Rattus norvegicus: one gene and its partners. The protein of the gene in region 2 purifies or fractionates together with the protein of the main gene of each other region. This does not show direct contact. Links are inferred from orthologs where the notes say so. Each region holds a gene or a part of one and is shown on either strand. Other genes may lie near its edges.

The links. Proteins that work in one complex are often made in the same cells at the same time.
Region 1: the proteins of Utrn (region 2) and Sntb2 purify together in Homo sapiens (affinity purification with mass spectrometry; 4 studies listed by BioGRID and IntAct, with this or other methods). This does not show direct contact. The link is inferred for Rattus norvegicus from reciprocal best matches to the Homo sapiens genes UTRN and SNTB2.
Region 3: the proteins of Utrn (region 2) and Dtnb purify together in Homo sapiens (affinity purification with mass spectrometry; 3 studies listed by BioGRID and IntAct, with this or other methods). This does not show direct contact. The link is inferred for Rattus norvegicus from reciprocal best matches to the Homo sapiens genes UTRN and DTNB.

The regions. Positions count from the first base shown.
Region 1 is NC_086037.1:51,739,655-51,744,953, reverse strand, and holds the start of Sntb2 (beta-2-syntrophin), read right to left. Parts: upstream 3,444-5,299; coding exon 2,918-3,443; intron 1-2,917. UniProt on the Homo sapiens protein: Adapter protein that binds to and probably organizes the subcellular localization of a variety of membrane proteins. May link various receptors to the actin cytoskeleton and the dystrophin glycoprotein complex.
Region 2 is NC_086019.1:8,848,260-8,852,758, forward strand, and holds part of Utrn (utrophin), read right to left. Parts: intron 3,576-4,499; coding exon 3,414-3,575; intron 2,311-3,413; coding exon 2,182-2,310; intron 1,121-2,181; coding exon 947-1,120; intron 1-946.
Region 3 is NC_086024.1:32,284,913-32,289,924, forward strand, and holds the start of Dtnb (dystrobrevin beta), read left to right. Parts: upstream 1-1,569; 5' UTR 1,570-1,839; exon of another isoform or gene 1,840-1,854; intron 1,855-5,012.

The sequences.
Region 1 (5,299 bases), on a different chromosome or scaffold from region 2:
CTCTAAGAAGTAACACCCAAATACTTACCTCGCCCAGTGTCAAGCACTTATTTAAAGTAACAATCATTTTGTTGTGTGTTCACTCCTTTCACTAACACTAATTTCTGGGCACTTGTCTGGCCCTACCTAAAATTGGGATATAAACAAGACTCATAAATAAGACATTATAATTGCAATTTCACTACTAGAGCACTTTCAAAAAGAAAAAAAATTAACAATCTTTAATTATGTGTCCGGGTGACTGGGAGGCCACACAGTGTCAGATGTCCTAGAACTGGAGTCAAAGGTGTTTGCAGGCCACCTGATTTGTATGCTAGGAACTGAACTGGGGTCCTCTGAAAAAGAAGTACAGAGTCTTAACTCACTGAGCCATCCCTCTAACCCCTTGTTTGTTTTTCCAGACAAGGTTTCTCTGCCCTGGCTGTTCTGGAACTCTGTAAACCTGGCTGAACTCAAACCCAAGATCCACCTAACTGTGCCTCCCAGGGCTGGGATTAAAGGCATTCACCAACACTGTTGGGCACCATGTTATTTCTTTCTTTTTTTTTTTTTTGGCTCTTTTTTTTGGAGCTGGGGACCGAACCCAGGGCCTTGCGCTTCCTAGGCAAGCGCTCTACCACTGAGCTAAATCCCCAACCCCTATGTTATTTCTTTTTAAACTTGTTGCTCATCTGTAATGGGGTTGGGTGTGTCTGAAGACAGCTACAGTGTGCTTATATACATTAAGTAAATAAATAAATCTTAAAAAAAAAAACCTTTTTGCTTCCAAGTATCACAGATTTACAAAAAAGTGAAAAGTAGGGCTGGAGAGGTAGCTCGGCAGGGAAGAACACTGGCTGCTCTTACAGAGGACCTAGGTTTGATTCCCATTACCCACCTCCAGGCTCACACTCGCCTGAAACTCTAGTCCCAGTGGACCTGACACTCTCTTCTGGCCTCCACGGGCACCAGGTATACATGTGAGGCACAGCTATACTGGAAGGCAAAAACGCTCATATGCATAAAATAATAATTTTTAAAAATTTAAGAGAAAACTGAACTGGATATGGCAGTAAATGCCTTTAATCCTAGCAATCATGAGGCTGAGTCAGTAAGATGACCACTTGGAGGCCAGCCTGGCCTGAATGTGAACATGCTCACAGACAGACAGACAGACACAGAGATACAGACACACTCGCTATTTGAGAGCACACACAAATAAGCTGTGCACGGTGTAACATGCCTTTAATCCTAGCACTTAGCAGATCAATCTCTGTGAATTCCAGGCCAACAAACAAAAAGATGAAAATTATTTCACAAAGTTACAATTCTGCTCTTAGTGTGATGGTTTTCTCCATAACTTCAACTCTTCCCTCAGTTCTCCTGCCAGAAATCCCTCCTCACCCATCACTTCCTGGAAAGCCCTCCTGGACTAACCCCTTTCCAGCAAATACTTTTCTGGAATTTTTTTTTTTTTTGACAGAGTCCCACTGTGTAGTAGCCCTGACTGTTCTGAAACTCACTATGTAGAAACCAGGTTCTTCTTCCTTTTTTTTAAAGGTTTATTTATTTTATGTATACACTGTAGCTGTCTTCATGCACACCAGAAGAGGGTGTCCAATCCTATGACAGATGGTTGTGAGCCACCATGTGGTTGCTGGGAATTGAACTCAGGACGTCTAGAAGAGCAGTCAGTGTTCTTAACCACTGTGCCATCTCTCTAGCCCAGCCCAGGTTCTTCTTAAACTCAGAGATCTACCTGCCTCTGCCTCTTGAGTGCAGTCTGTGAACCATGCCAAAGGCTACAGTCAAATACAACTTAAACTTGTAATCCCTTAGCATCTTGTAATTTGTACTACAGAGTCCAGTACTTAACGTTATTCCTCCCTAGAAGTTGTTTTGCATTTCCTATCATTTCCTCCCGCGGAGATACAACAGGGACAACACCTTTCGCATTCTCTATTACACAGCTAGCAGCAATAAATGCTCCTGGAATGACTGACTCAACAGCGGAAATGAAGCTGGTCTTGCAATTATTTCTAAAGCAAGCAACTGGCTTTTCATTTACAGTGCTCCATCACCTTCAACACGCAGGAGTCTTTGGAGGTGAGATTTAATTCTGCAAGTTACATTGATTCACACGAAACGTAGCTCACAGATCACATCTACATTTACGGTAAAGAAGGCTAATTCACACATATCGTGTGATGGTATCGTTTCAGGATTGTTATAAAATGCCTTCTGGTCTTGCGGCAGCATGCCTGCAAGCGGTAGGAAGCTGGCACCAGACTCTTGCAAAAGGGGCGAAACTCTAGTTGGCAGTAAAATGCTCAAACACGTGAGCCTCCACTGTTAAACAAGGCTCATTAACCACACAAACTTGCTGTATCAGCTCTCCTGCCTTCCACGAAGTGCTGTGATCTCCTCTGGTTATTGTTGAGAGCCAATGATGGGTTAAATTCCCATAAATTAACCAGTGCTTTGGTGGTTTGCCCAAGCAAACTGCTGGCATCGGTGTGGATGGATTTAATAGACCGGCCCGCCCGGGGAGCCCGAGGTGACTAAAGAAAGCGCCCAACCAACGCTTCCCAACAGGGAAAAAGGAAACTACGGAACTCGAGCCGATCGCTCTCCTGGTAGTTGGTGCTTAGTGTCAGCTTATCGTGCAAGAGGGGTGAGCTTTGCATGCGGCTGCTGCTCCCCCCTAAATCTCAGCTGAGTCTCGCTGAGGGGCGGCAAAGTAACACTTCGGTGACTGCCCAACTTTCTCCTCTCTGGGCGCCTCAGTTTTTCCACACTCTGGAGCCCCAGAGGAGGAGGTCTGGTGGCTGAGGCGGAGAGAACCGGCTCGCCGCACAGGCGTCAGGGTGGGCAGAAACAAAGTGCGCGCTGGCGAGCCCAGGCCGCCACCCGCTGCCTCCCGCTCGGCCCCGCTCACCCTCCAGCAGCACCTCCTTGCCCGCGCGCTTCAGCGCCTGCACGGCCTGGTCGTGGGTGGCCTGGCGCAGGTCGGTGCCGTTCACCGACAGGATGGCGTCGCCTAGCCGCAGCGCCCGGCTCTGGTCGGCCGCCAGCCCTGGGAAGATCTTGGAGATGAGGATCGGCATCCGGTTCTCTCGGCCGCCCTTGATGCTGATGCCCAGGCCGCCCGCCTCCTGCTTCACCACTCGCACTCGGCGCACGGGGGGCGAGGCGCTCGCTTCCCCAGCCGGACCGCGGGGCGGCGCGGGAGGGCTGGGCGGCCCCAGGCCGCGGTTCGGGCTCCCCGGCAGCGAGTCTCCGCCGCCGCCGCCGCCGTTCGGGAGACCGTTGAAGGCGACCGCGGGCGGTTCAGGCTCGACCGCCGCGGCGTCGCCCGTCAGGCTCAGGCTCTCGCCACTGAGTTCGGCCACCACCCGCACCCAGCGCTCCCTCAGAAGCAGCTCCACCAGTCCCGCTTTGGTGGCCCGCGTCCACACCGCCATGGCCAGCCCTGCTCCCGCAGCCGCCGTCGCTGCAGCTCCCCCGATTCCAGTCAGGCAGCCTCGGCGCTTCCCCCTTCCCGCCCGAGGGGGGGCGGACCCCTCCCCTCCCCCCGGCGATTCATTATTCATGAGGGTCACGCCCACTTTCCGGAGGGGCGGGGAAAGGCCGGCGAGGCCGCTTCCGGGAGGCTAGGTTGTCCTGGTTCACCGAAAGCTCTTGGTAGGTGGGCAGCACCTAGTACATGCAGCAGGGCTCCCCACAGTCCTTCGCTTTGGTTCCCCGTGACCTCCTCGAACTCCTGACCTTTTCTATGAGAGCTGCCCCGGCACGGAGAGCAAAGTCAGCGTGGAGAGACACTTTGCGATCCTGCAGGGCCGGGTGGCGCGTTCATTCTTGCATTGATTGGTTCATTGCAAAGATCCCTAAGCGCTCAGAGGTGTGCTGGGGCTCCTTTTAAGGCCCTAGAGACAAGCTGAATAAAATGCACCACAGCTGAGAGAGCTTGTGGTCTAATGGGAAAGAAAAACAGAGGCAACCAGCTAGGTGTGATTCTCTGTGGTTAAAAAGGCTGTGCAGACGTCCCTAGAACAGGATAAAAAAGAACGGTTAGGTTAGTCTTGGTGGGAGCAGCAGAGGACACAGCACAAATGACATGGGTTCAAAGGCATGGATCCAAGGCTTTGTCACTGTTTTTATAAATCACCTATCTGCTTGCCTGCAATTAGAGGGAATCGTGCCTTGTTAAGCACTGGGAAGCCACAGTGTGCAGGGTCAAAGACATTTGCAGCATGCTGGTGTTTTAGAGTTCCCCACAGACCAATGGATATACAGTTAACGAAGATTGTGCGAGATTAGCCACAAGATTCTGAGGATAAATTCCACAATCTGCCCTCTGCAGCCCCAGGAAAGTTGACTGGTACGCTCTGGATCCAAATCCAAAGACCTGAGGACTAGGTAGAAATCTGAAGATATCAGGAGACTGAGACCTGAGTCGGGGGATGGGAGTGGAAAGCTACTATGTAAAAACTGGCCCAGTCCATGGAAAACCAGGAGCACTGAAGTGTGGCAGGAGATGTCCCAGTTTTCGCAGGGTGAATGTATGGGTCTTACCGTTCCCTGGCTGCACTCACCTGATTGGATGATGCCTGTTCCCACTAGTGAAGACAATCTTCTTTCCTCAGGTCACCATGGAAATCACTTCTTCCAGAAACAGACACACCCAAAGAGGTTTTACATCTGTCTGTCCAGGCGTCTTTGAGCCTGGTCAAGTGAAAAAAAAAATATGCACCATCTTCTTAGGAAGTTGCCAGAATTCCAATGTGAACAGAACATAGGGTTAGTGGAATTGGGTAGTGTGTGTGAAAAGCTTCACATAACCAAATCCTGAAAGGGTTTGGTCTTGATTTTCTCAGTTTTTGGGTCTTTTTTTTTTCGGAACTGGGGACCGAACCCAGGGCCTTGCACTTGCTAGGCAAGTGCTCTACCACTGAGCTAAATCCCCAACCCCCAAGTTTTTGGGTCTTAAGTCTGGATTCCATCACGTTTTTTGGGGGGGAACATATGTAGATGAACATCCTAGAAACTAAAGAGTTATTAGCTAAAGAGTGTGACTTTGCTAACTGCAGAGCCAATAGCAATATAACGACCACAGCAAAAAAAAAAAAAAAAAAAAAGCCTTTTAGATATGTAAAAAATAGCTTAGTCAGGATCCCCATACCCAAGGCTGCACCTGATAACCAGAACTCAATGACACCACTTAAGATAACCAGACAGTCTAAGAACTGACGCCCACTGAACAAGCAGACAGTGCTCTTCTCCTCTGGAGCTCTGCTACTTTGACCTGCCCTGCAGCTGG
Region 2 (4,499 bases):
CATTTATTTCTTTCTACTTCTCAGAGAAAACAAATCTACTGTAATGAGTATCATTTACACGCTAAAAATATACCGAACACTTTAAAGTGTCAAGATGGATATGGCGCTCAGAAATTGGAGTTAAATGGGTCAATTCCAAACTGCCTTCATCCCTGTCACCTTGAACCCCCACACTCTGTTTAGGCAGCTTCTCCATACATGAGTTTCCAACTCAAAACACCTCAAGGATACACAGCCAGTATCTGTGATGTTTGCCGTTCTGTCCCAGTAAGCAAAGGGAAGCTTACAACACTTGCGTGTGATTCAAATGTCTCCTACCCCAGCACTATTCCAAGCACACGAGAAACGAAACGTGAAAAACAACAGCCCCACAGGTATCTCCTGCGGACTCCTCTAAGATTGCCAGGCACCACAATAAGGCTAAGTTCAGATCCTCCCCTGCCCCAACATCATTTAAAAATCTCTATTTAACTACAAACAATGAAACAATAAGGTCTTATTTGCCATCCACTTCTGCCCATCTGAAAGTTTAAACTTTGACTTAAAGGTCATGTTCCTAGCAAAGCATTTTTTTTTAATTCTGTAATATTCCAAATATTACAGAGACTTCAAAATTTATTGTGAAAATTTTCACCTATCAGTCATGTCCTGCAGAAGTCTTTCCTATTTCGTGTTATAACTTACGCATTTTTTTGTTTTCTTTTTAATACATGTTATTAGTGTGCCATTTGCTTCCGTATCTGCACGGACCATAAATACTGTTTTCACACTCTCCCATTTCTCTCGTAGCATCTATTTTTTTCTCTGGGACGGCCGCATTTCTTACTGTTCTAACACGTCCTCTGTCATCTTCACACCCCGAACTGAGGAATAAGAACGGATGCTCTGAACTACACTATAGCGGCATCTCTGGCCGTGCGAGCCGCCCCCTCCGTCTCAGGCTCACCATGCACTTGTCCAAGTGGGTCTGGATGACGTCGGGGTCCACATCCTTCACACTGAGGACGTGGAGCTCGGCCTTCACGCCATCCAGCACGCGCTTGCAGTCAAGCATCCGCTGCTCGAAATTCGCGGGCTTCTGGAAAAGCTGGAATTTGGTGGAAACCTCTCGGAGTTTCCTCTGTGTGCAGAAATGAAAGTAAGCCACTCGCTCTCTCTCTCTCTCTCTCTCTCTCTCTCTCTCTCTAGCTGTTAGTATAATACATTAATACTAAAAGGCTTCTCAAAAAAAAAAAAAAAAAAACAAGCCAACCCAGGAAAGCCCAGAGGGATTAGGAAGGTTCTGGTAGAGTAAAACAATGGTTCTTAGCCCTCCTAATGATGCAACCATTTAACACAGTTCCTCGTGTTGTGGTGGCCCCCAACCATAAAATTATTTCACTTGCTACTTCCTAATTGTAATTGCAACTGTTATAAATCATAATGTAATTAATTCATAATTATCTTATATGCAGGGTATCTGATAGGTAACCCCCAAAGGGGTCACGACCCACAGGTTGAGAACCACTGTTCAATGTCATGGATGAGCAGCCCTCAGTATTCCCAGTCTCCAAAACAAACATGGATACAGATGGTGTCTCCGGAACGACAGTCCACTAATTTACTCACTTCCTCCAGGAAACCTAGGTCATGGACGTAGACCTCAGACACCTTCCACCACATTAAGAGTGACAGCCCTTCTCCCTCCACGCACTAAGGACCTGAGTGGTCCTGCATCCCGCCCAGACATCAGTCTCTGGGGTCAGAGAGCAGTCCACACAAAGCCAACCGCAAGGCTGAACCCAGTCTCTCTTCTCAACCAACTAGGGTCCTGCCAAGACTCGACCCCACCCCACAGTATAGGGGAGTGTCAGGGCGGAGAGGTGAGAAGGGGTGGGTGGGGGAACAACCTCATAGAAGATGGGGGAGGGGAAACGGGATTGGGGTTTTTGGATGGGAAACCAGGAAAAGGGATACCATTTGAAATGTAAATAAATAAAAATAATAACAATAAAAAACTTTGCTATTTTATTACCCAGCTAACAACCTGTGCCTGCTGCCATGAGGCCCAGTGAGCCTTTAATACCCACTCACATCCCATTGTTCGAATCACAGTACAGAGCCAGGGTACCCACATACCCTTTCTGCTTTCCTTTCTATACCTGCCATATATAAAAAGCAAAGGGGAAACCTGGCCTTTACCTGGAGCAGGTCCATCTGACTTCCTCCTCTTGTGGTTCTGCCCTCAGGGGAGGTGGGGGGCTGAGGGCGGACATTCTTTTTCAGCTCCTCCAGGGTGAGCTCATGGGCTGAGATTTCTGCTTGGATCTTCTACCGGGAAGATAAAAAAGGGAGAAGGTGTGTTTTTAAAGTCCACTGAGAAGCCCTGGGTAATGATGGCCCTTGCTTGTAATTCTAGCACTCTGGAGGCTGGAGCAGGAGGACAGCCAGGTTTAAGGCCACCCTTGGCTACACAGTAAGTCCCAGGCAAGCATGAGTTCCATATGTCTTTAAACAACATGTATGTTTTTAATACAACAGTTTTCACACAGCAGTGTGCCTTTATAGGACAACAGCAAAGTACACGAAGAAACAGAAACACAGAAGGTCAGTGTAGCTGTGCAGTATCTGATCCTGTATTTAATAAGCTTGGGGGACACTTGGTAATAACAAACTGCTACACGGTACACCACTGTGTGCCGTGCACATGCTAAGGCCTCTGCATGCCATTATTGATGCTCACACCTGATTTATATAGAATAAACTGCCTGAACTTTATAGCTAAGGAAGGAAGGAAGGGAGGGAGGGGGGGAGGGAGGGAGAGAGAGAGAGAGAGAGAGAGAGAGAGAGAGAGAGAGAGAGAGGGGAAGAGGAAGAGAGAAAGAGAAAGAAAGAAAAGGAAGAAAGAGAAAGAAAGAAGAAAGAAAGAAAAGGAAGAAAGAGAAAGAAAGAAAGAAAGAAAGAAAGAAAGAAAGAAAGAAAGAAAGAAGAAAGAAAGAAAGAAAGAAAGAAAGAAAGAAAGAAAGAGGAAGAAAGAAATCCATTTTCTAATGTATGAGCTGTGGGAAAGGAGCTGGAGAGATGGCTCGGCTGTTAAGAGCACCAGCTGCTCTTCCAAAGGATCTAAGTTCCTTTCCCAGCACCCATAGGGTGGTTTATAACAGTCTAACTCCAGTTCCAGGGGATTCAAAGCTGCCTTCTGGCATCCGCAGGCAGTAGGCATGAACACAGTGCACATGTGCACGTGTAAGCAAAACACTCCTATGCGTGAAAGATTAAAGAGAAAAATGCTTCAAGTTCTCACCCAAGGAACAAGAACAGCTCCAAAGCCAAGACCGTTCCATAAAGAATGCCTGTTCTCCTGGCTCTGACAGACGGTCAGATGGAAACCGTTCTCTCTCAGAACACAAAGGCTCGCTACTTTGTAGCAGTACCTGAGCTTCCTGGGGCAGCTGGAAGGCATCAATCCTGTCCGTCAGGTATGTGGTAAGCTGCTTGTCCAGCTCCCCTAGGCTCTCCTTCAGCACCTGAAGCATGTGGTCAGTTTCGCGGAGGACCTGGAGTTGCTTCTCCAAAGAGATCTGTTTGCTCTCCGCCTGCACGGAGGAGACATTTCCTCTGTAACTGCTCAGCACAAGTATAAATAGCTGGATGTGCTTTCTGGCCATGCAGGTTATAATAAAGTACTGGTTCAAGACTGAAGCTCTTCTTATAAATAAATAATGACCATCAATAAGAAGAGTGCAAATGTTCTTCTAGTATCTCATGGCCTCAGCTGCTGAACCTCTCATTTTTACTTTCTATTAATGTATACTATGACAAAATACACATACGAAGAGATCTCCCATAGGGCATATATGACAGAATAAAAATGGGCATTTTAGGTGACTGTCTCAGTGGCTAAGTACTTGTTGCCCTTGTGGAGGATGAGGGTTTGGTTCCCTCCATGGTGGCTCACAACCATCTGTACCCCAGGCTCTAGGGAATCAAACACACTCTTCTAGACAACATGAGCATCAGACACATACACGGGACACAGACATGTATGCAGACACTCATATATGCAAAATGTCTTAAATTAAGTAAAATTTGTAGTTTTTTAATTTTTTATTTACTAGAAACAAAAGGCAATTTTAAGAATTACCAATGCCTATCGAAAAAATAAGACATAGTAAGAATGTCTGTCAAGTGAATACCTAATTTTTTTTCTAAAATTGAGAACAAGTTCTGTGGGTGTACAGGTGAGTAAAACCACGAATTGCCACACATCTTTGGATTAAGTCAATGATATTTAGAGTCTAAATCTGAACAGTTGCTATTCAGTAATCTCTTATAATTCGCTAATTACCCACTCAGCCTTCTTACAAAAGAACAACGCCCCTTCTCTTATCACTGATATGAGCATGCGTGTTGAGATATAATCTGGACACAATCCAAGTGATGCAGCTTTCATAACACTTAATGTCAAATTCTGATGCCCCTAATAGTTCCTGGGACATACATAGAGAAGGTATTGTTTT
Region 3 (5,012 bases), on a different chromosome or scaffold from region 2:
GCTTCAAAAAGCTTCCCTAAAGCACAAAGGCCTGGAGCTGCTTCCATTCACACATGCACGTTCACATACACCAAAAACCTAAGGGATATTGCTGTTGTCTTAATGTTGAGGGGAAATTTTTTGATTTTTGAGACGTTAAAAGAAGACTTCGATGTCCCTAAAGAAGGATTCTATAAAAAAATGGCAATATGAGGGGCTGGAGAGATGGCTCAGCAAAGAGCACTTGCTATGTTATCCGAGGACCTGCGTTTGATTCCCCAGCATCCATCCACACTTCACAGTTCCAGGGGATCCAAAACACTCTTCTGGCCTCCGGGGGCACTCACGGGGTGCAAACATTGCAGCCCAAACACTCATACACATAAAATAAAACATAAATGCTTTAAAAAAGGATAGATGAGTTGGTAATAAATATAGATACATAAATAAATGAAGCTTTGTCGCCCCTGCTCCCTTGTCCAAGCTGTTTAATGTCCAAATACTCCCACTTTCAGGAACTACTGAACGACTAAGCGGAAAGTAATCTGTCCCTCCTCATCCTCTCACCGCATCCGGCTGTGGCTTGCCTTTGCGCAGAGGACCGGACTCGGTCCTTCGCAAGGCTGCTCTTCTCCCTAAGTTATGCGCTCTTGGGGACCAGGGCCGTGACCCAGATCGTGTCCACCGGGCACCAGGCGCATGAGTTAGTGCTCAAACGAGCCTGCTGAGGCAATGTGGAAAGTCACTCGGGGGAGGACCCGGCGCTCGAGGCGCGGGTGAATGATTCACCGGGTATTTCTTCGCATTCCTTACGGTTCAGTCACGTCGGCGCAGCACCCAGCCGCCCGGCAGCTACCTGTGGAGTGGAAGCGCACCTCCGCCTCCACCTCCGCCTCCGCGGCCAGCGCACAGCAGAGGCCCGGAGGGGGCGCGCAAACCCGCGGGAGGGCACTCGGCCGCCTCCCCGCCCCCTCTGGCGGCGGAAGCCCCGCCCCTCCGCGCGCCCGCCCTCCGCGCGCACCCGCCCTCGCCCTCGCCCTCGCGCCCTCGCGCCGGGGGCGGGCTCGCTGCGCGTGCCGGGCGGGGAAGCGGCGCGAGCCGGCGCCAGGAACGTTCGCCGCGGGGGCGGCTCCGGGGCCTGAGTGGGCGCCGCCGCCTCAGTCGCTGCCGCTGCTTCAGCTGCCTCTGCCGAGGGGGCCGGGTCGGAGGAGGCTGCGGCCGCCGGAGAGCCACGCGACGGCCCCTCAGCTTCGGCCGGGAAGCGAGCCAGGTGGGGAGTCCGCCGGGGCTGGAGGAGCGAAAAGGAGGGCTGCGGGGTGGCGGAGCGCGCGGCCCTGGAACGGCGACCCTTGGGAGACCGCACGCCGGGCCGGAGAGGGCTCTCCGGTCACCCGGGCGCGCGGGGGGCCGCGGAGCGCAGAACCCGGCTGCGCGCGCTGCTGATGCAGCCTGAGCCGGACTTGCGGGGAGGAGGCTCAGCGTTAGGTGCTGAAGGGGGCGAAGGCGGCAGGTCCTGGCAGAGGGCAGGTGAGGTAGGCAGGCCCTGGCAGAGGGGAGGGAATTCATTCCAGATCACCTCTCAGTGTCTCCCGAGGCTCCCGGTAGACGAACCTGTCTACTCAGGTCACCTCTGATGGGCACAGTGTCCCGAGAAGAGCGAGGATGCAGCTGACGAATGCTTACTGTTAAATTCCTGTGCCAGGCCTTGGGGAATCAGGGAGACCTTTCTAGCATTCTCTGCAAGCGTTTATTGATTAGCTACGGAGCAGGAGAGAACCGCGGTCAGCGCCCGGGTCACGACTTTATCACTCTCAACCATCATTTATTTGCTGTTGAAGTGCTGACAGTCCGGCTGTGAAAGTATACACACAAAATGTAAAGTGCTCTATTTTATGTTTCTTGTTCTGTTCACTTCAGGTCTCTTTAGGATTTTCCCAGCCCTGGGAAACTGGGCCGTAAGTTGCTTGGCTTGTGGAGAAAGTAAGATACTTGAGGAAAGCTGGTGGGAGCTATTGGGAAGAGATTTGAAGGGTCTTACTGACATTTAAAAGAGAGGGGAAAGAAATTTGGAAGGAGAATCTTGCCTTCCCAACTAGAATTAAGCTCCGCGCCTGTTTTCTGCCCAGTCCTCAGGATGTGGCCTGGATCCCGAAAGCCCTACAATGGATGCCCACTGCAGGAGTGGATGGAGGGACCAGGGTTTGATACATTTGATATGAAGTAGTGTCAGTCTCTGTAGAGTTAGGGATGCTCGCTGGCTTCCTTTGGTCCTAGGATTCTCTTTTTGCCTTCTCAGGTAACCCAGGGTTTTAGACGCTAAACCAGTGGCTTAGGTGGCAGACTCCGGTGGCTTGTGGCCACTTCTTCATCCACGCGGTTCTTGTATGTTGTGCACCAGAAGCTTGTTCTTTGGGTGGCTGCTTGAAGTCAGGTTCCGGTCCTTCTCTCATTGGCCTTTTCCCCCCTCCTCTGTCGTTTGAGGAGGACTGGAGGGAGCTTTTGCCTAGAGAACACTTTATAATTTCTATCCTGCCTCTTGGATCTTGGTTCTGAGGTGAGAGAATGCTTAAGTCTCTTCAGGTCTGTAAGGGCTGGAGTTCTGTCCTCTGCCTTGCTTGGACTCTCCAGCCCCATACTGCTGCTTCCTTTCCCTGGCTTGCAATGCCTGTTGGATTACTTTGCTTGCCAAATTAAAACTTGACCTTTTATGTGTTCTCTGAGGATTTTTATCAGACTTAAGTGGAACTGCCTCTGAAGGGGTTGTGCAGGCAAGGTGGTGCTGGCAGGGTCTTTAGCTTCACTGAATTTTGCCCGGGAGACAGAATATAGTTAAAATATTAGAGTGCGCAGGATTTCCAGTTACCCTTTATTTCATGTCTTCAGATGTTAACATATCTGACCCTTAGTCTCCTTATATAAAAAATAAGAGCAATATTAATCCAAATTTGTCATTGGATATATAGAAGCCTTGAAGTATATTCATTTAGTTCATTTTAATTAGTATTTGCATTTCAGGGTACAACCATTAAGTCTCTCTTAGGTTTTGTTTTGGGGTGCCTATGTGGCTTTGCAAATTTGGGTGTCTTGTTTCGGGCACTTCTAATATTTTATTTAGATATTTAATTTACATTTATTTGAAAATAAACCCTCTACCCCCGGTTTTTGAAGCAGGGTCTTGCTGAGTAGTAACCCCAGCTATATTGGTACTCGAAATACAGTAGCCCAGGCTGTAAGTTGACTTTGAACTGTGGCTATCCTTCTGTTAGTCCTTCCTGTGAAGCACCATGGCTGGTTAAAACAAACTTTTTGTTTGTTTGGGTTAAAGATAGGGTCTCTCTCTGTCATTCTGACTTTGAACTTATGTCTATTCTCCTATCTATGTGTCCTGGGATTACAGGTGTGCACTACTGTGCCTTCTTCATGTGTAGTTTACATAGGATAAAATGGATAGACTTTGCATATTGAGTTGGGTATTTTGAAAAAATGGTACATATTGGTGGGCATGGTGGCATATGTCTTTAGATTGAAGTCCTTAGGAGGCAGAGGCAAGCTGATCACTTCAAGTCCAGCTAGGGTTACATAGGAAGACACTGTTTCAACAACAACAAAAAAAGCAAAACAAAGTAACAAAAGTCCCTCCCCCAAGAAAACAAACAAAAAAAGAAAAGACATGTGTACTTTGTAACCTATCCCAATCAAAATATATACTTTTGTATCATGAGAAAGTTAACTCCTGCTGTCTTGGGGACAACCCCTCCCTCTATTTTATTAACTTAAAATTACATAAGCATTAGAGCTGTGGTTTCTAGATGTGCTGGAGGTACGCTGCTGTTCTAGGGTGTCTTTTGCACTGGAGTCTCTCTGTGCTGGCAGCTCCTGGAGTTGCAGTAGTTTGAGCAGTTCAGAATGCATATTTGCTTGTAAATTGCTCCAAATAAAACTCCCTTGACATACCTACTCCTTTTTCTACTCCGGTTACCAGTTTGTTGTTTTCTTCCCAGGCCTTTTTCTATGCATTTTACTTTTTTTGCATGTGTATGTGGTATGGGGGAGTCTGCATATGGTATCCATGTACCATACATTGTATATGCCTGTGAAAGCCCAGAGTTGACACTGGAGGTTCTCAGTTGCTCTCTTACTTATTTATTAAGTTCAGCCTCCTCCTGAACCTGGAGCTGGCCAATTTGGCTAGTCTAGCCAGTCAGCTCGTTCTGATGACTCCTGTCTGTCTCTAGAGCGCTGGCATTGTAGGTGGCTGCTATACCTGCCTGGCTTGTATGCGGGTTCTAGAGATTTGAACTCCAATTCGTATATTTGCGTGGCAAGTGCGTTATCCACTGAGTCATTTCCAGCTCTCTTTGCATTTTACTATAGCATTCTGTCTAGGTTGCTCTGTAGACTTTTTTTTTTCATGTTGGAACACAAGACCTGCGTAGTCTTTACTGTGTGATTTCTTAATGTATGTTGCGCACTGTACTTAGTATATTTAAGCCTCTCTTATTATTGGCAGTGAATGGAAATCAAATACACCTTCTAGTCTGAGACTTTTCTTAAAAACAAAAATGTAATGTTTGTCATAAATATATGAAAACTTCTTTTCTAAGTGGCTGTGTATGCTCAGAAAAAAATTCTCAAGCTGGTGATATGACTCGGCAGGTAAAGGCACCTGTTGCTAATCCTGATGGTCTCAGTTCAATTCCCAAAACCCTTGTGTTGAAGGAAAGAACTGATTCCTGTGGTTGGCCTCTGACCTCCATCTGCTATAGCATGAGGGTACCCACACACATACACCCATACAAACAAGGGTAATAAAGGAAAAAATTGAAAATAAATATGTCTTTATGTCACGCTATGAATTATATTTCTGGTTTCTTTTACTTGGTAATATGCATTTATACCTGCTTATGGACTGATGACTTATTTCCTTTTAGTAACAAATAATATTCCAGTCAGTGGAAATACCAGTTTGTTTATTCACTCATCCAGTGAAAAGTCTTGGTAATTCTGAATAGAACTGTTGCAATCTTCTGTGT